Linked DNA regions of Stegostoma tigrinum. The protein of the gene in region 1 purifies or fractionates together with the protein of each later gene. This does not show direct contact. Links are inferred from orthologs where the notes say so. Each region holds a gene or a part of one and is shown on either strand. Other genes may lie near its edges.

Region 1 (7,254 bases):
ATGCTCATGAAAAGTTGTTGAGATACAACAAGACAATAATCAGATAGGAGGCTTGGAGATAAACAGCAGATCAATGTGCAAAGTGGCAGAAGCAAGGGGGAGAAAACTACAGATGACAAGGCAACGGTCAGTAGGAAGTAATTTTAAGAGGTTCCTACAACTCTGTGGATTTGTAAAAACCAGCTTAGCAGACACAGAAATAGTTGCAAAGCTAGGGAGCAGGTTGTCAGTCCAAAAACAAACCTGAGCCTCAATAATCATTTTGAAGTCCAATTTACTTTATAACATCAAAGTTAAAACCTAATCCATAAAGAAAGAAAATGTAAAGCCCACTGATGCAGACTTCACAAGACCAACGATCAGAAGGAGAAGGAAGAGTAGATCATTCAGTACTTTGAGTCTATTCTGTCATTCGGTGAAATCAAGCCTGATCTGATAATCCTTAACACCACTTTTTTGCCTTTTCTCCATTAATCCTTGAATCCTTTACTGATAAAAAGTCTGTCAATCTCAGCTTTGTATGTACTTAACCCAGTCTCTTTAGCCATGTGACACAAAAACAAAATCACAGATTCACTGTACTCAGGGAAGAAATTTCTTCAGTTTTAAATGGACAACTTCCAGCCTCTGAAATTATGCCCTCTGGTCTTAGACTCTCATACAAGGGGAAAACAACTTTCCTGCATCTACTCTGTCAAGCCCCCTAAGAACCTAAAATGTTTCAATTAGGTTTTCTCTTATTCCTCCAAACTCCAACTCAATTTCACCTATAAGAAAATCTCTCCCTACCCACAATCAAGCTAGTGAAACTTCTGTGGATTGACACCAATGCCAACTTTCCTTAAACGAAGGGGCCAACTATTTACAGTATTCTAGATGTGGTACAACTAGTGCATCGTGCAGCTTTTAGAAGACCTTCCTATTTTTGTATGATTCCCTTGAAATAAAGGCCAACAGTCCATATGCCTTTCTTTTTAGCCGCTGAACACTGATGCTGACTTTTTTGTGATTTATGCATGAGGACCCCCCAAATCACTTTGCTGCAGATTCCTGCAGTCTTTCCTCATTTAACTGATATTTACCTCATCTATTCTCCCTGCCACAGTGCATAACCTCATATATTGCTACATTATACTTCATCTGTCAAGTCTTTACCCAATCAAGTCACCTATTTTTATCCTTCTGCAGACACTTTGTTTCATCCTCACGAGGCTTAGCCACTTATTTCTGTGTTCTCCAAAAGTGACCAAAATACAATCATTTTCCTCATCCAAGTGATTAATCTATATTATAAATAATTATGGCTTCAGCACTTATCCCTGTAGTACTTCATTAATTACAACCATCCTGAATATGCCTCCTCACCCCAACTTCCTGTCTTCCAGTTGTTAGCCAATCTTCTTTCATGCAACTATGCCACCCCTAACATCATGGCTCTTGTCTTATTAAGACTTAATGTGCAGAAGCTTTTGAAAACCCAAATACATTACATCTATCGATTTACCTTATCTATTCTCCTCAAAGAACTTTAATAAACATTTCAAGCATGATTTCCCCTTCATGGAATCATGCTGACTGATTATATTAAACATTTATAAACACACTGTGATTACATCTTTATAATAGACTATAACATTTTTCCAATGACAGAAATCAAGCTCACGGGCCTAGTTACTTTCCTCTGTCTCTTGTCAGTTTTTGAATAAGAGTGTTACGTTAATAATTTTCTAATAATCTGGGGCATTTATGGAATCTAAGGACTGGAAGATTATTACCATTCATCCACTATCTGTAGCTACTTCTTTTAAAATCCTCGGATGCAATGAATCAGGACCACTGATATATCAGACGTTAGCCCCATTCTACCCCGAGATCTTTTTCGTATTTCTTATTCTGGAATGCAATTAGTTTCTTCTTGATGCAAAGTATTCATTTTATTCCTTTGTCATTTGTTCCTCAATTATCTTTCTGAAAACTCCTTTCCTAGTCCACACCAGCTAACTTTGCCGTTTTTAATTGACCTTATTTAAGTTTAGCATGTCCGTAACTAATAAAGAAACAACACAACCTTTTACTCTTGCTAGCCTTTCAAAATGTCACATACCCTGTATATTCAATTCCCAGATTTGATCTTCTAAGCTAGTACTAGTGCCACATTAACTGAAAGCCATTACACCCAAAACAATCTTTAAGTCATGCATTTAACTCAACTTAGCTATCCCATAACAATAATATTGCCACTTATTCAGGAAACTGCACATGAAACTACTTAATGATTGGGAAAGATTTTCCAATAACAAATGTTTGATTATTCTGGAAAATCTCAATAAAGATCTTCAAAAGACATGACCCAGAACTGTGACTCAAATGAATCTTGGAAATCAAGCCCACAAGTTTCAATATAAAATAAACCACAGAGATAGATAAAAAACAATTACACTGTAGTTGTTAGAAGAGCACAAATGGAATCTGAAAGGAATGCAACTATCAAACAGCTGAGGAGCGATTGTTGATGCCTGGGAATGTTTGAGCTAAACTAACCAAGGATCCTTTTATTTTCGCTCATAATTTTCAAGGAAAACGCTTCTGTTCCCACGAATTTGCCAGGTTCATGCTTAGACTCCTTGCCTCCCCCTTCAATTTAGCCTGGCAAACCCTCTTATGCCAAGCACTTCACGGGTAAGATGAGGTGTACTGTAAATGCAAACTGTTGACTGGCGTATGTGGTTAGTGTCACTTCAGATGTGTGAATTTGAAAAATCTCGATCACGAAATGGACCAAGACGCCCTCAGGCCTGACAAATCCTCCTGATTTTGAGTTAAACGGTTTCCTGGTCTGGCAGAAGAGATCTAACTCCCATTTCCTCCGGACCCTCCAAAAGGATATTTAGCGAGTGGTGAGTCGATCCTCTTGCCGGCCGCGCTCGCCCGCTGCTTTTCCCTCATTAACCGCCGCAGCTCCTGCTGGTCAACAACTTTCTTCTTCCCCTTACCAGGTGCCGCCATCTTGACAGAGAAGACCGTTTCCGGTGTGAACCCGGAACTGCTTCCCAGGCAGTGGATGCGTTGTTGAGATGCCGAATGCTGAGTAAGGTAACAGTTATTATAATTACTGTACGGGTGGGATGAGGATTAGACATTAATTTAATTCATAACAATGGTGCTCGGGTTCCTGAAATGAAATGTCTCCTGGCGACATACATTCCCGGTTTCCTGAGGGGTCAGTTTCCCGACGTATTTCTGAAGAAGGGTTTAGATCCGAAACGTCAGCTTTCCTGCTCCTCTGATGCTGCTTGGCCTGCTGTGTTCATCCAGCTCTACACCTTGTTATCTCAGATTCTCCAACATCTGCAGTTCCTGCTATCGCTTAGCCGTTTTGTCACACTGTCATTCCCACAAAGTGTATGGATGCAGATCCCTGCTTCAGCCTGCCAGACATCGTCCGCACAGGAAGGGTACCTCTGGGTAGCAGCAGTTAGAATGTGATTGCAATTTACATCGTGTTTGAGGAGGAGAAAGGTATGTCTAAGAAACATAGAATTTAGGAACCTTCTGTTCAAGTCCCACCTGCTGTAATAATATATCTGAACAGAGTGATTAAAATATAGATAACACATTGTAAAGATAGTAGGAACTGCAGATGCTGGAGAATCTGAGATAACAAGGTGTGGAGCTGGATGAACACAGCAGGCCAAGCAGCATCTTAGGAGCAGAAAAGCTGATGTTTCGGGCCTAAACCCTTCTTCAGAAATGGGGCAGAGAAAGGGGTTTCTGAAATTGAGAGGGGGAGGTGGATAGAATTTGGATAAAGGAGGAGAGGTGGAGAGGAGACAAAGCGGTCAAAGAGGCGGGGATGGAGCCGGTAAAGGTGAGTGTAGGTGGGGAGGTAGGGAGGAGATAGATTAGTCCAGGGAAGACGGACAGGCTGAGGGGACAGGATGACGTTAGTGGGTAGGAGATTGGGGTGAGGCTTGAGGTGGGAGGAAGGATAGGTTAAGGAAGCTTGGACGAGCTGGGCTGGTTTTGGGATGCGGTAGGAGGAGGAGATTTTGAAAATTGTGAAGTCCACATGGATACCATTGGGCTGCAGGATTTCCAAGCGGAATATGAGGTGCTGTTCCTGCAACCTTCAGGTAGCATTGTTGTGGCACTGCAGGAGGCCCAGGATGGACACGTCATCTGCGGAATGGGAGGGGGAGTTGAAATGATTCGTGACTAGGAGGTTAAGTTGTTTCATGTGAACTGAGCGTAGGTGTTCTGCAAAGTGGTCTCCAAACTTCTGCTTGGTCTCCCTGACGTAGGGGAGGCCACAACGGGTACAGCGGATGCAGTACCACATTAACAGATGTGCAGGTGAACATCTGCTTGATGTGGAAAGTCTTCTTGGGGCCTGGGATGGGGGTGAGGCGGGAGGAGTAGCACTTCCTGTGGTTGCAGGGAAAAGTGCCAGGTGAGGTGGGGCTGGAGGGGAGTGTGGGGAGCAGACAAGGGAGTCACGGAGAGAGTGGTCCCTCTGGAAAGCAGATAAGGGTGGGGAGGGAAAAATGTCTGCGGTGGTAGGGTCGGAATTCAGATGGTGGAAGTGCTGGAGGATGATGCGTTGGATCTGGAGGTTGGTGGGGTGGCACGTGAGGATGAGGGGGATTCTGTTTTTGTTCCTGATTTACAACATCCACAATTCTTTTGGTTATTATTTTGTTTATCTCAACTGTTTGTTTCGTGTCTGCCAACTAGTTCTCACTTTTTTTTTCTCACCACATATCAGTTGAAGTTTTTACCATTGGTCTGTATGTTCCTGTCAATCCTTCTCTCACACTCCATTTTCCTCTCTTAATTAACCCACAATGATGCCACCCGAAGGTTGCAGGAACAGCAACTCATATTCCGCCTGGGAACCCTGCAGCCATATGGTATCAATGTGGACTTCACCAGTTTCAAAATCTCCCCTTCCCCCACTGCATCCCTAAACCAGCCCAGTTCATCCCCTCCCCCCACTGCACCACACAACCAGCCCAGTTCATCCCCTCCCCCCACTGCACCACACAACCAGCCCAGCTCATCCCCTCCCCCCACTGCACCACACAACCAGCCCAGCTCATCCCCTCCCCCCACTGCACCACACAACCAGCCCAGCTCTTCCCCCCCACCCACTGCATCCCAAAACCAGTCCAACCTGTCTCTGCCTCCCTAACCGGTTCTTCCTCTCACCCATCCCTTCCTCCCACCCCAAGCCACACCCCCAGCTACCTACTAACCTCATCCCACCTCCTTGACCTGTCCGTCTTCCCTGGACTGACCTATCCCCTCCCTACCTCCCCACCTACACTCTCTCCACCTATCTTCTTTACTCTCCATCTTCGGTCGCCTCCCCCTCTCTCCCTATTTATTCCAGTTCCCTCCCCCCATCCCCCTCTCTGATGAAGGGTCTAGGCCCGAAACGTCAGCTTTTGTGCTCCTGAGATGCTGCTTGGCCTGCTGTGTTCATCCAGCCTCACATTTTATTATCTTCCTCTCTTAATTGCCTGTTTCTTTCCTTTTGATGGAATCTAAATTGTTGCCAGTTCTTTGGTCTGTTGCTTTTTATGGCCAACTTGTATGCCTCTTCTTTGGATTTAACACTATTCTTAGTTTCCCTTGCAAGCTGTGGTCTGACCACATTTCCCGTTTTAATTTTATGCCTGACTGGGATGAATAACTTCTGAAGTTTATCCACGTGCTGTCCAAGACTAGTATTCTAAGTTAAATTAAGCAACAATGTGGACATGAAAACTGAACTAGCTGTAGATAAGTTAGGAAATCTAACAGAAAGATGCTGTTCATATATCAAAAGTCTGGACTGGTAACTCCAGATTTATTGAATTTGTGTTAACTTGTCATGTGACCACACCAATCAATCAGATTGGAGTCAGGCTGCACTGCAGCACAAGATTCCAGGCAAGCTTGACACTTGACATCAACATCTTTCTGTGAAGCCATGTAAGTATCACTGAAATGGCAGATAATTGTGAAGAGACTAATGAATGCCTGCGTTTCCCTAACTAAAGCTCTGCAGCCGTGGAAATGGCCTGGGTTTTGTGCTGGAACACAAACACTGAAAAATGTTTGACTGCATTGACAGCATGGCATTCTGTATCACATTTCCCCAAAGACATCATGTTAAGCAGAAAAAGTTTATTGAGATTTTCCAGAGATAACCCCAACATTTTTAATACTTTTTACAGTACATGCTCCGGCCGTTGTAAAGTGTGAATAAATTGAAAATAAAAGGAAATGCATTTTTCACATAGTTACTGTGTCTTTATTTGCTTGTTTTTGCATGAAATATGTCTAGGCAAAATTGAGTTGTGCTTGAGCTTCTTTGGCTATCTCAAAACTCAGCTTGACGCACATTTGTGAGTGGTCTCCTGCAATTCAGCATCACAATTTTATTGTACTATATTCATCAATGTACAGTTTGGTAATATAGAGTAAGTAGCACTTCAAATCGACCTAAAAGTAGGTATGATTATACAAACAAATATGTTACACAAAAATCAGATTTGTAAAATCAGTACTGAGATGCAATGGGAAGTTCAAAAATGCAAAACAATTTCTTGGGCCATGCCTATGGGTGCATCTTAATCTGCAAAGTGACAACTTCAAGGTTTGATCTGGTGAAGTTAGCTATCTTGATACATTTTTAATCTCCCTTAATACGGTTAGAGGTCAAAAGTAGAAATTCAGTATTGCACAATGTCTCATCAGGCCATTGCCAACGCTGATATACACAAACTTTTTCAATGAAACTTGGAGGGGGTACTGCTGGTTGAGCAGATTTGCTTCACGGTAAACTTATCTGCTGATGTGTAATTCCTGCTAATGGATCATGACTGAGTTCAGCATTTATGTAGATTATGCAACAGTTAATCTCAGCACAGCAATATATGCACAGTCACAGCATGCATATTTCTAAAATAATTCCAGAAAAATGCTTTATTCTAAAAAAATCCTTTAGTACAGAATACTAAAGATCATACACGAGGAAGCTATTGATCTGAGTGTGGTGGAAACAGAACAACAATTTTGGTATAAATTTTCCACAGCAGGTAAAGGTCCCTGTCCACATAACTGATACCATTTTCCTTATTGCATACATATATTTTGCAATGACAGTAGCACATTTTGTAATTCACAATGGAATATGAGTGTCTCTGATTAGGCAAGCATGTTTTGCCCTTCAGCAGTTGTCCAAATTGCAATTAAGAATCAATGCTG
Region 2 (7,995 bases), on another chromosome or scaffold:
TATATTCTGTACAGGTAATGTACCTGGAAAAGAAAATAAAGTTCAGTGCAACATTATAAACAGAATTATAGAATGAAGTGGCAGGGGTAACGTCACTAGATTACTGATTGAGACACTTAATCCAATGCTCTGGGTACTTGGGCTTGTAGTCCGTCACAGCACCTGGGAGGAGGGGAGGAGAGGGAAAGAGTTAAAATCAACTAATAGAATCCAGAATTGTTGCCATGCGTGATTTGGTGGTGGAGAAAGCTGATTGCTGTGTGTGTAATTGCACTTATGGATAAGCAAAACAGGGAAAAATCCAAGTGGTCACGTGGTGCAGTAGTAGTGTCCCTATCTGTGAGAGGGAAGTGCTTGGCTTCAAGTTCCACTTGCTCCAAAGGTACATCATAGCACTGTTGAACATCATTAAAACTATCTACAATCTGGAATTGAAAGCTAGTCTCAGTAATGTTGACCATTAAACTATCACTACCTGTCATAAAGATCACCTTGTTCACTTGATTCTTTTGGGCAACCTAACCTGGTCTGCTACATGTGACTCCAGGCACTCAGCAGCACGCTCATTCCTAACTGCCATATCAGTAGCCTGGCAAGAAACTCAGTTCAAGGGCAAAAAAATATTGACCTCGCCCGTGAGACACTTACCCATTGAAGGAAGAGAGGAGCAGATTGGAACTTAGGAACGGGCAAGTCATCTAAAGGAATGCACGTACAAATTGACAGCTTTAAACAACAAAGTTAAAAATACATCCCTGATAATTGAGGAAATATAGTTAATTTAAATGCATCCTAGTTAAAACCATACTTTCCAGAAAGGAGAGTAACCGAACTGAATTGAGTCAAGGGGACAGCTGGAACAAGACTTACTCCCAGACAGCACACACACTCTGTCCCTCCCCAACAACATAACTGACAACCCCACAACCCAGTCACCTCTTCAGGACAGTATCCACAATGTTTAACAGCCAGAGTTCCAGTTCCAAAGCAGAGCTCAGGCAAGTTGAATCCCACCGTGATTAATTTTGGAACTGAAAAAAAGTACTGCAGACTTTACTGATTTTGTACTGCAAAACATTCCTTGATGATAGCTTGTCAGGCACACTTCTCACTCTGCATCACCTGTTCATGTCAGAAAATTCTATTCTGATTTCATTTTGTTGGTAAATACAGAATATCACAGTTTCTATGAAATGTCAATGTAAATTATACCTTACAAACAAAGAAGCTGATTTCTTTCGTTGGTGACTAATGAAACACTAGCTGCTGGCATAGAAAAGGATCCTCTGAAAATCTGCAGTCAACGGCAATCAGGGAAAAATTCTCCATTGCTCACAGTCGTACCTCAATCAAGGCAACATTGTTGTGGTTGTTGGAAATCAATCATTTCAGTCCCGAAAAATCACTGCAGGGAGTGCATATTTAATTTCCTGAATGCAATCATGTTCAGATGCTTCAATGACCTTCCTTCTACCATAATATCAAAAGGGGGAACGTTCACTGATGATTGCACAAAACTGAGCACCATTCACAAACCTTCAGATATTGAAGCAGTCAATCCATATGAAGCAAATCTGGACTAAATCCAGTACTGTCATGATAAGCTACAAAAAAATCACATCTCTCAATGACCAGGCAATTGTCTCTCTCCCCAGAGCCTGTGCGTTATTTACAAGATAGAGATCAAGAATGTGATGGAATATGCTCCACTTACTGGATGAGTGCGGCTCCAGCAGCACTCATGAAGCTTAATGCCAGACAAAACAAAGCATCCCATTGACCAATACCTTCTCTAATACCATCAACATTCACTCCCTTCAACACTGATGTACAATAGCAGCAGTATGCCATCTACAAGATGCACTAATAACAACTCACCAAGGTTCTTTAGACAGCACCTTCTAAATCCCCGACCCTTACCACCTAGGAGAACAAATACGTGGGAACATCAACACTTACAAGTCTCCTTTCAATCCATACACCATTCTGAACTGGAATTATATCTCCAGTCCTTCACTTTTGTTTGGTCAAAATTCTGGAACTCCCTTTCTAACAGCACAGTAGGCACACCTAACCTCAATGGACTCCAGCAGTTCAAGAAGGTGCCCTTTCAAAAGACCAATCAGGGAATGGACATAATTGCTGGCCCAGTCAGTGATGCCAACATCACATGAACAAATAAAAATAAACTTGTCAAAATGCAAGCTGTGGATCCTTTTGCATGGAACTGACAGCAATATCTGAGTTAATTTTAGGTATGCAACTGTCATTTCCAGATACTTGAGATTAATGGTGTTTCCAATCCCTCAAGTGGTGTCATTGCCTTACATTCTGTTACTCCACATATAAACCCTGTGAATATCTGCAGGATCACTGAAATAATGTACACAGAGGTGAGGGGCTGCAATGTAGAAAGAATTGCTCCCTTCCGAAGAAGACAGGGGAAAGAAAAACACAAATAGGAACTGCTGCACAAGTCTGCAGCATACAATGCCACCTAATTTAATGCTTCAAGCACTGATTAGCAAGACTAAAGAGGCAGTACAAAAAGACCAAATGATGAATCAAAACCGTAGCAACTGAGGAGTATTTTAAAGAAGAATACAGAGGTAATTCCAGAGCTCAGGGTTTAGCAGACCGAAGAAGAGTCATTAATGGAGAAGCAATTTAATATCAGGGATGCACAAGAGCACAGAATATTGGCGATGTGGGGAGATAACAGAGATGGGGAGGGGAAGGATCTGAAAAGGGTGAGAATTTTAAAATTAAAGAGGGTCATGTACTCAGGCCGAGTCGCAGTGAACTAAATGGGCTGCTTGAGCGTCACAGGGAGGGCAAAGGGCGATGGGGCCGCTCTCCCAACAGCAAGAAGAGCTCGAGGCTCACATTTTATCTTTCTGGTGCTGCCTCTTCCCCATGGTGTCGGATCAGCCGCCGCTACCTCAAACCTCCGCTCCCAACACAACCTCCCTCAGGCCGCCGGAACTGCGCTCACTTCCGGACAGACCGGTTCGCCTGTAACAAAGGGCCGGGCAAACCCGGAGCGCTGGAGGGAATGTTCCGCCCCGACTGACGTCTGGAAAGTTAACAAGGACCCAGTGCGAAATGCAGAAAGGAGGTCAAGCAGCATCATCTGCTTGGCCTGCTGTGTTCATCCAGCTCCACACTTTGTTATCTTGGATTCTCCAGCATCTGCAGTTCCCATTATCACTGCAGAAAGGAGGTGTCCTGCTGTTTGGGTCCACTGCATCATCTGCTCAGTCATTTTGAATGGCTCGATTTTATGGTCAATATACGGTTTTCCAAAAGTTTGCAGGATAACTATGGATTTATTTGCTCCATTGTGACGGCAACATAGATAGTCTAAATTAACCTGATGGGGTATGTTGTGGTATACCTTTGGCAGTAGGGTGAGACTTGAACCCAGCTTCTCCAGTTTGGAGATGAGGACACTGCCACTGAGCCGTACGAGCCAGCACATCACTGCATGGATTGCAGTGATTCAAGAAAGCAGCTCAACACCATTTGTTCAAGAGACTATGAGGCTTGGACAATAATGCTGGCTCAGCCAGTTGCGCCCACACCATCTGAATTAATGAAATACGTCTATGTATACAGAGGTTAACAATGAAAGGTAGAGACTTAGTGGCATGATGTAAAGACAACAATTTCTCCATCAAGTATAGTAGGAACCACAGATGCTGGAGAATCTGAGATAAAAAGGTGTAGAGCTGGATGAACACAGCGGGCCAAGCCGCATCAGAGGAGCAGGAAAGCTGACATTTGGGGCCTAGACCCTTCTCAGAAATTTTCGTCAGCTTGCCTGCTGTGTTCATCCAGTTCTACAACTTGTTATCTCAATCTCTCCATCAATATCAGTAACAAGCAGGAGCTGGTTATCAACTTCCAACAAGCAGAGTGAAGGACATGCAGCTGTCTGTATCAATGGTGCTGAGCTGGAGACAGTTAAGAGCTTCAACTTCCTATGAGTAAAGATCATCAACAATCTGTCCTGGTCCATCCGCGTCAATGGTCTGATTGAAAAAAAGCATACCAACACTTCTTACATCTTCAGAAGGCTAAGGACATTCAGCATGCAGCACAGAAAGTATCCTATCCAGATGCATCCCACTCCCTCGAGAAAGGAGCCAACATAATCAAAGACCCCTCCCACTCCACTCATGCTCTCTTCCATTCTCTTCCATTAGGCAGAAGTTGCAGAAGTATGAAAACACGTACCAATTAATTCAAGAACATCTTCTTCCCTGCTGTTATCAGACTTTTGATTGGACCTCTCAAATATTAAAGTTAATCCTTCACTGCACCTTCTCTGTAGCTGTAACACTATATTCTGCATTCTGTTTCACACCCTGTTATACTTATGTAAGTTATGATTTGCTTGGATAGCACACAAAACAGTATTTCAGTACATGTGAAAATAATAAATCAAATTTAATAGAATAAACCAATAAATTGACAGTGGAAAACATTTAACCATGAAATTCAAAATAATTGTTCTGCGATTCCAAAATATTTAACAAAAATATATTCTACTGGAAAACAAAGTCTCAGCAAAGTAAGACCTATCACTGGTTTATTCAGAATGTTCAGTATAGTATTAAATTTCAAAAGGCATTCATAATGTTGCAGAGAATAATAATAATTAAGACAGGTCTCAGTACAAAGTGCAGAATATAATAAGTGTAGAATGTTTACAATATAAGATTAATCTGATTTCACATAAGTCGGGGTGGTTCATATTTACAACAACAAATTACACTTTTAACACATTCCAAGCTGCTTAAAAAGTGCACAAACACTAAATTGAACATTGAATCACAGAAGGAAAAGAAATTGAGCCACAGAATAAATGGGTGAAATCTTTGTCAAAGAACTAGGTTTTAAGAACTATCTTAACGGAGAGAAAGAAAGGTAGACATGAACGTTTAAGGAAGAAATTCCAGAGTTTATGAAAGCACAGCTGCGGTAGTGTAGTACCATAATTCAAATTGAGGATGCGAAAGATGCCAAAATTGGAGGGGTGCAGAGTTCTCAGAAGGTTGGTGAGGTGGAACCACCTCTCCAGCGCAGGGAAGGGTAGTGCTGTGGAAAGATTTTAAAACAAGAATGAGGATTTTTAAATTAAGCTATTGTCAGATCGGGAACCATTGCAGGTCAGCAAGTACTGGGGGTAAAGGGGAGTGAGACTTACTACATGTTAAAATATGGGCAGCTGAGTTTGGATGAACATAGTTTACATGTGGTTGAAAAATCGGAACCAGTCCAAGGGGCCTCTAGGACAGATTAGTAGTAGGAAAGACACAGATGAAGGCAATGTCAGCATGAGGCAAAGTTACCAAGTCAAAAATAGATATTCATGGAGGGAGAGGTGAATCTGGAAGCTAATACTAAGGAGCAAAACACAACATAGAAAACTGCAAGCTATCAGCTTAGCTTCAAATGGTTGTCAGGGAGAAGCATATAAATGATGAGCGAGAGAAACAACTTTGTGGCAGTGACCATAACTTCAGTGTACTAATACTTAGGCCAGGACAGACCCTGCACACCAATACTGGATATTGGATGTACATATTGTCAAAGACAGTGGAGGAGTCAAGCATGGTAGTCATGGGATAGAGCTAAGTGTCATCAACAAATCAGTGGAAATGGTCAATTTTCAGATGTTGTTACTGAGGAGCACTGTAGCATGGGAACAAAGGGGCCCAAGGATAGATCCTTGATAGACTGTAGAGGTAGTTGTGTGAGAGTGGAAAGAGAAGCCATTATAAGGGAAACATCATTTGATAGGGCACATCAAAACTATCCTGTGGAATAATGGCAACTCTAGATCACATCATTTCTTGATTTTTATATTGCAAACAAATGAATTGATGTAAGACCATCAGTTTCTCTCCTTAAATATGCACGGTCTATCTCATTTTACCCTGCTAGGCTAAGATATCGCAAATGTTTGAGCAACATGTGAAGTTAGCTGTGTTTTATTGCTACAATGCAGTACCAACATGAGTGATGTTCATCACTAACAGGATACTGCTGCTAAGCTAAAAAGATGCTCTATCTATCTCACAAATGAGTAATGTGATGTATTAATTTCAACACTTATGTGATGCTGGGTACACCGCACATCCCAAAGACAGGCAAATCATATCGAATATAAGCCGACAAGCATCTCCCTTACAAAACATGCAACAGTGACCAACATTAGATGTGATTCTGCAATTGGACAATAATCCTGAGTGTGCAAAGAATTGTACTGTCAACAAATTTAAGATTTTGTAGTGCACTTGCATTTATTGGAAGCTACATGCCTTAATATACAGATCCCAGTTTGTTATAGACAGAGAGAAAATGTACACACATAGTGCCTGTTTCAAATCAACAACATGGATGAGAGGCATACACCAGTTTGTTTCTAAGGTAATGTTCTGACCAATCAGAGGCAACCTCTCTGGTTTAAAACTTGAATAAATCTTGGAAGTTTTCTGTCATTCATCATTAACTAGTGCATTCTTCATGACAATGCCCCTAAAAATAACAGTCCACTTGCCAACCAAATAGCACTGTCCGGTAATATTATATAAATGTTGTTTTACTTTTACTTTGGTATTTCTTACAAACAGTCTTGATGAATGTAAAACCAAAAGTTTCAGTAAAAGATAACAAAGTGTGAAGCTGGATGAACACAGCAGGCCAAGCAGCATTTAGGAGCACAAAAGCTGACGTTTCGGGCCTAGACCCTTCATCAGAGAGGGGGAGGGGGAGAGGGAACTGGAACAAATAGGAGAGAGGTGGAGGCGGACCGAAGATGGATAGAGGAGAAGATAGGTGGAGAGGAGTGTATAGGTGGGGAGGGGATAGATCAGTCTGGGGAGGATGGACAGGTCAAGGAGGTGGGATGAGGTTAGTAGGTGGGAAATGGAGATGCGGCTTGAGGTGGGAGGAGGGGATAGGCAAGAGGAAGAACAGGTTAGGGAGGCGGGGACGAGCTGGGCTGGTTTTGGGATGCAGTGGGGGAAGGGGAGATTTTGAAGCTTGGGAAGTCCACATTGATACCATTGGGTTGCAGAGTTCCCAAGCGGAACATGAGTTGCTGTTCCTGCAACCTTCGGGTGGCATCATTGTGGCACTGCAGGAGGCCCAGGATGGACATGTCGTCTGAGGAATGGGAGGGGGAGTTAAAATGGTTCGCGACTGGGAGGTGTAGTTGTTTATTGTGAACTGAGTGGAGGTGTTCTGCAAAGCGATCTCCAAGCCTCCACTTGGTTTCCCCAATGGAGAGGAAGCCACAACCTGTACAGTGGATACAGTATACCACATTGGCAGATGTGCAGGTGAACATCTGCTTGATATGGAAAGTCATCTTGGGGCGTGGGATGGGGATGAGGGAGGAGGTGTGGGGGCAAGTGTAGCACTTCCTGCGGTTGCAGGGGAAGGTGCCGGGCGTGGTGGGGTTGGAGGGCAGTGTGGAGTGGACAAGGGAGTCACGAAGAGAGTGGTCTCTCCGGAAGGCAGACAAGGGTGGGGATAGAAAAATGTCTTGGGTGGTGTGGTCGGATTGTAGATGGCGGAAGTGTCGGAGGATGATGCGTTGTATCCGGAGGTTGGTGGGGTGGTATGTGAGGACGAGGGGGATTCTCTTAGGGCGGTTATTGCAGGGGGATGGTGTGAGGGATTTGTTGCGGGAACTGCAGGAAACACAGTCGAGGGCGTTCTCGACCACTCCGGCGGGGGAAGTTGTGGTCCTTGAAGAACGCGGACATCTGGGATGTAAACGTTTCAGTAAAATATGTTTTTTTCAGCTATATTCATGTAACATTTGTTTCAATAGCATGTGTGCAGTTACTATTTCAATGTATGTATGCAAATAACTATTCATATTCTATAAATGATAAGCATTAACTGAAACTGCTGGAAAATCCTCAACAGGTCAAAACTGTTCTGAAGAAGCATCGCTGGATCTGAAACATTAACCCT
Region 3 (7,902 bases), on another chromosome or scaffold:
TTCATAATCCAGTGGAATTTGAATGTCCATGATATCACCAAATGGAATGAAAGCTGCATGAAGCACTTTCTCATCTACTTCTTCAGCAAGACCACCTACAGGTGATAAACACAAAATATACATTAAATATAACAAGATTTTCTGTGAGAACACCACAACATTGACCACAAAATACCTTGTCACTGAGCCAAAAAATTTGGAACTCCCTCCCTAACGGATACTGTGGGTGTAGCTACACCTTATGGATAGCAGCAACTCAAGGTGTCAGCTCACCACAGCCTTCTGAAAGGCAATTAGGGATGGGTAACAAATGGCAGCTACACCAGATGTCATAACAGAATTAAAAACAATTCAAACAATGGAAAACCTACTTAATTCAATCACAAGTCTGACTGGCTGCATTCATTTGATGACAAGCATCTTGCAGTTTTGTAGGTGTTTTTCTTTAGCTAGAAATACCTTAACCACAGAACATAACAGGACCCACATCCTCTCTATCAAACTCATCTCACCCTCTCTATCAAACTCATCTCCCTTCCATCCTCACAGTCTTTGCATTTCACTTGGATTGATTTGCATTGAATGATTCTTTATTCTCCGCAACTTCAGTCACCTTAACCATCCTTCTCTGACTGCCTGTGACTTCTCTCAATCACACTGTCCACAAAAATTCCTTTTTATAGAAGTCAAGTTTATCCACCAGTATTTTACTATTAGTTTTAGAGTATAAAATACTTGACTTTAAGTAGGGCAAGACTAATAAAGTGAAACTATACACAGAGTATATAAAATATGTTATCCAGTATTAAGGCCTCCTTCCCTAATTGCAGCATATAGCACCCAAAAGATGGAGATACCTGGCTTTTTCCTGTGTTTCTTGGAAACACACAATTATGTATGTTCAAAAATTTTGCCCCAACACAAGGAACAGTATCAAATCTCCACTGGTGCTGAAATGAGTGATTGCCTGATACATCATCACATAAACAATAACACAAAAATGTCTTATGATGATATTTTTAAATGAATTTGAATGCTCAACATTCAGTCAACAAGAATTTAAAATGCTATATTTTTTAAAACAATGTGGTCAAAGGATAATTTCTCATGTTTTTAAAACTTTCAGTCACATTGTAAATTACAAAGAACTGAGATAACAAGGTGTAGAGCTGCATGAACACAACAGGCCAAGCAGCATCAGAGGAGCAGGAAAGCTGGTGTTTCAGGCCTTTTAAGCTTCAACATAGTATGTTGCCCATAGTATTCATCTCCTCCAAAAGAAATCTTGAAAAATAAACTGAACAACATACAATGCAAATGAAAAAAGGATTAAATTGATCCTTCCAAACAAAAACTGTGTTTAGAACAAAGCACATCTACTTGTCTATCAAAGAGCTCAGCAACTGATTAAGAAACCTTTTAAGAAATAAGCTACATATGGACTGCCCTTGATTTTTAAATATAAAGAACTTTGATTTATAAAATGATACTATAATAAATGTTAATTCTAATTTGCAGCAACTTTAAGAGATCAGATTTGAACAGACTTAGTGCAATCCACTGGCCATCTTTTTGGCCTCTATTGAATGGAGACTTCATTACTTCTTGTCCAGATGTAGTTGTAGAACGTCATACAACCAGAAGTTTTTGCCCGTCCCATTGCCAGAGTCATTTACGGCTGCTATCTAAGTTTCTGCTAGCTCTCCTTTGAGCAAAACAGTCAATCCCACTCCCCTGCAGCCTGGCGAGTTTATTTCCTTCAAGTTGATCCAATTTCCTTTCAAAACCATTTGCTAATTAATGGTAAAGCACCTATCTAACCTGCAATTGTGAATGATTATTAAGGAAAATCAGTCTCCAAATGTTCCTTCCATCATGGAGATACCTTAATTTCCCATTATGCTTCTTTTCACATGACACATCTGAGATTAAATATTCAACTTGAGGCACAAACCCGCATTCCACCATTCTACAGCAAAATATGTTTACACACTTCTAGGCTGAGCTATGGGACATCTAACTATTAAAGATCCAAATTTTTTTTTAAAAGCACAACACACTGTAGATTTATTTCCAAGTGTGTTTTTATAGATATGTATTACAATAAGAATGAAAAAGTCTACCCACAGATCAAACAAGGTCCAACTGTTGCCACAATGACTGAATCAGGAGTTCCTTCATGTGACTAGACAGTCTATTAAGTCAGTACATGACATTGCAGGTTCAACAGTAATCTGATCTTAAAATAAAGACCATCATCTAAAGGCAGCGCTTCCCAAAAGGGATCAGGCCAGAAGGGGGTTGCAAGTTCCAAGGCTATAATTGCTGCTGTGTAATCCCAAACGACTGTGCTCCAGATCTAACAAGCAACAATGCCCACAGGTATCTAACTTCTCCCAACAACTCTCAAAGGTCTCTTTGAAGAATGGTGACAGTTTACAAGCCTCGAAATTGAGTCACAGTGGAAGAGTTTTGAAATCACTGGCCCAAGGACTAGTCATCATAGCACCATGTCTCAGGTTACAAATAGTTATAAATGGATAACCATTATAACAACGACAGCAAATTATGTGTAATTACGGCAGAATGATGCTTCGTCTTTCATCAATATGTTAAAAGGACACAGTAATCAAAACAGCCCGTATTCTGTACAATTCTACATGATTGTTGAATGAATCATTCTCAGACTGAAAAATGATAAACTATAAAACGATAAACTGAAAAAAAAACATTTTTGGAGTATGGTAAGATTTTAAAAAAGCAAACGATAAGCAACCTACAGGCGATCTTGCTCGCAGAGATGAGTTTTTTTTTGTTAAATTGTGCAGGGTTTGGAATTTCCCCCGTTGCTGCACTAGAGACCCACCGCACTGAGTAAATTCGGACAAGTACCCCATGGAGAATGTTATTTGACTGTGGAAAGAATCTGAAGAGCGGCCGTGGCCCTTCCTCACTCACCCACATACAGCACCCGCTTGGTCGACGCCATCTTCCCTTGAACTTTCCCCTCTCAACTCCAACCTTTCACCCAGACACTTGCTCAATGTTTGGTTTATTTAATAAGTTCTTTTTCAAACAAAAAAATTCCGAACTTGAAAAGAAAATTGAAAAAAAAACCCAACAAAATATAAGCTAATTTCTAAATTAACTAGACAGGAAAATGAGAGCAATTTTGGAGTAATAGTTAAAGTGGGATAGAGTAGGTGCTGATAGGAGACGTATCTTTGCAGAGCCTGATGTTTAAACTGTCTCTAAGGGATCATATAGATAATCAAAACATGCCTGGGGCAGGTGCTTTTTTGGAAATAACATCTTTATATTCTGTAGTATTCCACAGTGCTCTCTGTACGATATATAGGAAAATTTGTGTTCAGACTTCACTCTATAAAGTCTCACAAAGAGCCTTAAAATGTTAGTTTATAAATGGGACTTGATCATTTTTCCACTAAATAAGCAGATAGGGGTTACATGTCATCAAGGAAGAGTAGACTGCACAACCCTGCTCTGCCATTCAATAACGTCAGAGCTGATTTGACTTGAACCTCAACCATATATTCCTACATATCCATCTGTCCACCTCTGTCTTAAAACATTTTAAAGATTCTACATCCACTGCTTTTTGAGAAAGGGAATTCCTGAGACTTATTCTGAGGAATTTATTTTCCTCATCTGTTTTGAATGGGCACCCCCTTATTTTAAAATTATGAGCCCTCGTTCTAGATTCTCCCACAAGGTTGTACTCTGGACACCAGAGTTAATCCATCCAAGATTTAAAAAAATTCTTCAGCACTTTATTCTGTGAAATCTTTAATGAACTTTCCTTCTTAATTGTAACAATTGTGCACTTTCAAACCTTACACTGAGATTAGTTACAACGGGTGACCACTGCAGTTTGCAGTTCCTCTTGATACCATTATGTGTGCCTTTTCAGGGTTGGTTAGCTCAGCTAGCTGGATGGCTAGCTTGCAATACAAACTGAGGCCAACAGTTTGTGTTCAATTCCTACAGTATCTAATGTGACAAGGTCCACTCTTCTCCGTCCTTCCCCTCAAATTAAACCACCACAGACATCTTTCTCTAATGAAAGAATGGGACTATGGTTACTTTACCTTATGTTGCCCAGCTGTAAGTATCTTTTTCCCTTGACATTATGAGCTGGTTTTACTGTAAAATATTAAATACCTTCTGTCAGTTCCTACTCAGTCACCTTCTTTCTTAACTGGTATTCCAAAAAACAGTTATTTAACTGTCACCGGGTCATAATTCTAGAATTCCCTTCTTAAGGACATTATGGGTCAACTAACAGCAGATGGACTGCAGCAATTCACCACCACCTTCTCCAGAGCAACGGGGCCAGGTAATAAATGTTGCCCGCTAATGATGCCCATGTCCCACATATGAAAAAAAACCTTCCACACTGAGAATCAGCTTCAGGCCTCTTTTCTGCAGTGTTCCATGACTGGAATGTTTCTCTTCTATATGAGCCAAACTTAATACAGGACTTAAGTGACAGTCTTGAATTTCTAATTTTATTTGGCAATAAAATACTGCACTATATTTTTCCTTCACTAAGTTGGCCATTACCTCATTTATTTTCAATTTCCTCAACCTTTAGCTATTTTCACACCTTCCAAAGGGATATCGTAAACGACACCAGTTGTATGCCTTTTGCCTACTTCCCTTAATTGCCACAATCAGTTTGTTACCATCTGCAAATGTAACCAAGTCAGCTATGATCTACTTGAAAAGCAAAACTGGCTGAAGGTGTTGAATGGCCTATTTTTCCCCATATTCCCAGTGTACGTTAGCTTCCACATCCAAGTTACTCAAAGAACTACCAACAGTGATTTGGAAGGCTGAACCAACTAGACAATGAGGGTCTCAGGTTCAATCACTAATCTTTGTTGGATTGATTTTATTAGTAACCACAACCAGCATCACAACCTCTCAGAGAAGGGAGAGGTACCCAGTGACATCATCTGTAAAAAAGCACATACGTGAAAACAGGCTTGGACAGGACTAGGCATTGACATAATGTTGAATAATTTATATACTGAACGCTCAATAGAGAACTTGGACGAAACATCCGGTGGCATCTACTGGCTTTGAGACAACATTCCAGCAAGAATATCTCCAAGGGGGAAAATACTAGTAAGAAAAATCAAGTTTATTCTTCTGGATCTCAAACCTGAAAGGTAGGCATTTGTTTAAATGGATTTGTGATGTCTTTATGATTTGATTGAAGTGTTCTCCTACCATTTCCCCAATGCTGGAAATTCTACTATTTACAGATCTGGCTGTATACAATTGTTCTCTAAATGAAGAAAAGAATCAGTTTCATAAACTTGAACCATTCCTTTTCAGATTTGTGCAGTAGGTCACAGTTTCAACCCATTAGGACTCAATGGTTCATATTTTCATAATTTCCCCTACAGTCAATTTTCATTTGTACATATGGCTTACAATCCTGTTAACTTTGCTATTTATGACACATAATTTAAAAAAAACCATTAGTTACAGTAACTAATTTGCATGGGACAAATGCCAGAGATCATGTGAAATGCACTTGTTATGCTCATGGATGATGAAACCAGGTTACATCTTTGTACTGGAATAGTGAGATGCAGTGTAACATCCAGAGAGAAGATAGATTTAACAATTGTTCCTCTTTTAAAATCAGTAAGCATTTAGTCAAACTTAAAACAATACATTTTCAAGACAAGCTTTTTTAAATAATTAATTTTAATAATTTTATCACCTTAGAATTTCTTGAGCAATTTGCTCTGACAACTTTGTCTTCTCTGTTTGTCACTAAAGGAAATTTGCTCCACAATGCAAAAAATTGCCAAAAGTTTGACTTTTTTTAAAACTAGTTGCAAACTAGAAAGTATAATTGTTGATTTGAATGTTATAGAAAATTGGTCTTTATGCTAGAACTAGCATATGTATATTTTCAGTGTTTTTTCCTTAACAATTATTCATACCGTAAAAGTTAAAATTCTAAAGTCAAAGGAATTGGGCTGATTTGGATGACTGGTGCCAAATCTGCCTTAAAATGATATTCTGGTTAATATCTGTGCAGTCAATAATTCAAGTTGCTGGCTTTCGCTGCTGTATTGGTGTTTGATCTGTGTCAAAGAGTTTCCAGATTTTCCCTATGACATCAGCCAGATGGGGCTTTGGAAACAAAAAAAATGTAGCAAATACATGTGTTATACCATGTTTGATCACAATCTTTTATTTCAAGAGAAGCAGAAATGATCATTTAAAAAAAACTGACATATTTTCATTACATTTGCTTGTCTTATACTTTCTCCTCCAAACTGAAATTAATCTTCTCTTCTGACTCCAGCAGTCTATGTTTTCTAAACAATCATCAGGAGATGCACATTGTTTGTAACATTTTTTCCCCATTCAGAAGATTCATTATATTTACATAGTATTTTGTTTAACCACTGTGACAAAGCAGACACTTGCCCATTATCAGTGGACAAGTCCCATCACTTAGTTCTGAACTTAAGCACCCCAATATCAGTTCACAGCCATGAAATATTTTTAACATTTTTTTAATAGAAAACTTCTTTTCAGCTTGGAGGAAACAGACCAAATTGCAAATGAGGGTGGAGAAATAGTTGACTTGTGTGACAGTGATAGATCTACTGATGACAATGACAGGGCCCTGGAGTTCTTATCTGGAATCCACTGCTGCTTCAATGGGAAATTACAAACATGTCAAGGTATTATTAGCATCTCATGACAGCCACAGTACTTTATCATTATATAAAATAATTCTTCTTCATCTCTGAAGTTCCATTCCCCCATTTAAATAGTCTACTATACAGCCAAAACCTAATAAATAAAACATACGCATCAATATCAAAATCCCTCCAGTGCAAATGACGACAACTGACACATTGTAGTGAAAGTTTTTTTATTGGTTTCTCCTTTCCCCAATCAGAAACACACTTTTCCAGATTTAGGCAAACTTGAGTTTTAAAAATTAAAACACACCTTAATGATAAAACTCAACTGCAAAGTAAAATCTAGCTCCATTCTCATACCTTTAACCTTTTATTTCTTGTTCTTTAAAGAGAAGGAAAAAAATAAATAAATCTATCCTGGCCACAGACGCCCATTTTCAAAACAAAACAAGTTTTAAATCAAAGTAGTGCCCTGCTTGATAATTTTATAGTTTGATTTATCAAAATATATTTCTTTTAAATTCTTAAGGTACATTTAAAACGTTTCAGGATCTGGTTATTTGAAATTTTGCAATGTTTTTGTTTTTTTTTCCTCAAAGCTAAGCACAATCCACGCATCCAGTCTGAATATATCTGAATCAAAACTTGTGGAATCCTTGGTTCTTGGCAATCTGCAAAAAAAAGTAAAATTTTAATATCTGCCTCCTCTCCAACTGGAACGTTCCAACAAATGAATCTGATACCGCCCTAACCACATGTATCACTGTTGCTATACAAAATACCCATGTCAGTTAGAAATAATTGTAAAAGAATCAGCTGCAAGTTGAAGGACTTTTACTTCAGTGTTTGGAGCGAAGAAGTCAAATAGTTGAAATGTTTGAAGCCACAACAGGTTGCAGTATAAGTTAATACATTTTTATTTGATACCGACTAATTATCACAAACTGCAATAGGTAACCAGCATTTTTGATGTACCAGAACCACCGAATTGCTGTGTGTCATACAACACACATATTACTGAAACTTGTAACTGCAGGTCAAACCATGTTAATCATTTTAAATTGATAATACTGACTGAATCCAAAGTAAAATACCAATTAGTAAACCAGTTGTTTGCAACTTTATTTTGCTGCCAGGACAGACACAGTGGGCTACATGGCTTCCTTCTATAAAATTCTATACATATCATGTTTTTTCTCTC

What was found. The genes of interacting proteins can lie anywhere in the genome.
Region 2: the proteins of znf830 (region 1) and ppil2 purify together in Homo sapiens (co-immunoprecipitation; 4 studies listed by BioGRID and IntAct, counting the BioPlex papers as one, with this or other methods). This does not show direct contact. The link is inferred for Stegostoma tigrinum from reciprocal best matches to the Homo sapiens genes ZNF830 and PPIL2.
Region 3: the proteins of znf830 (region 1) and ppie purify together in Homo sapiens (affinity purification with mass spectrometry; 3 studies listed by BioGRID and IntAct, counting the BioPlex papers as one, with this or other methods). This does not show direct contact. The link is inferred for Stegostoma tigrinum from reciprocal best matches to the Homo sapiens genes ZNF830 and PPIE.

The regions. Positions count from the first base shown.
Region 1 is NC_081355.1:92,356,367-92,363,620, forward strand, and holds the start of znf830 (zinc finger protein 830), read right to left. Parts: upstream 3,019-7,254; 5' UTR 3,007-3,018; coding exon 2,885-3,006; intron 1-2,884.
Region 2 is NC_081379.1:43,741,765-43,749,759, reverse strand, and holds the start of ppil2 (RING-type E3 ubiquitin-protein ligase PPIL2), read right to left. Parts: upstream 3,003-7,995; 5' UTR 2,919-3,002; coding exon 2,887-2,918; intron 24-2,886; coding exon 1-23. UniProt on the Homo sapiens protein: Has a ubiquitin-protein ligase activity acting as an E3 ubiquitin protein ligase or as an ubiquitin-ubiquitin ligase promoting elongation of ubiquitin chains on substrates.
Region 3 is NC_081377.1:33,673,792-33,681,693, reverse strand, and holds the start of ppie (peptidyl-prolyl cis-trans isomerase E), read right to left. Parts: upstream 3,003-7,902; 5' UTR 2,990-3,002; coding exon 2,959-2,989; intron 96-2,958; coding exon 1-95. UniProt on the Homo sapiens protein: Involved in pre-mRNA splicing as component of the spliceosome. Combines RNA-binding and PPIase activities.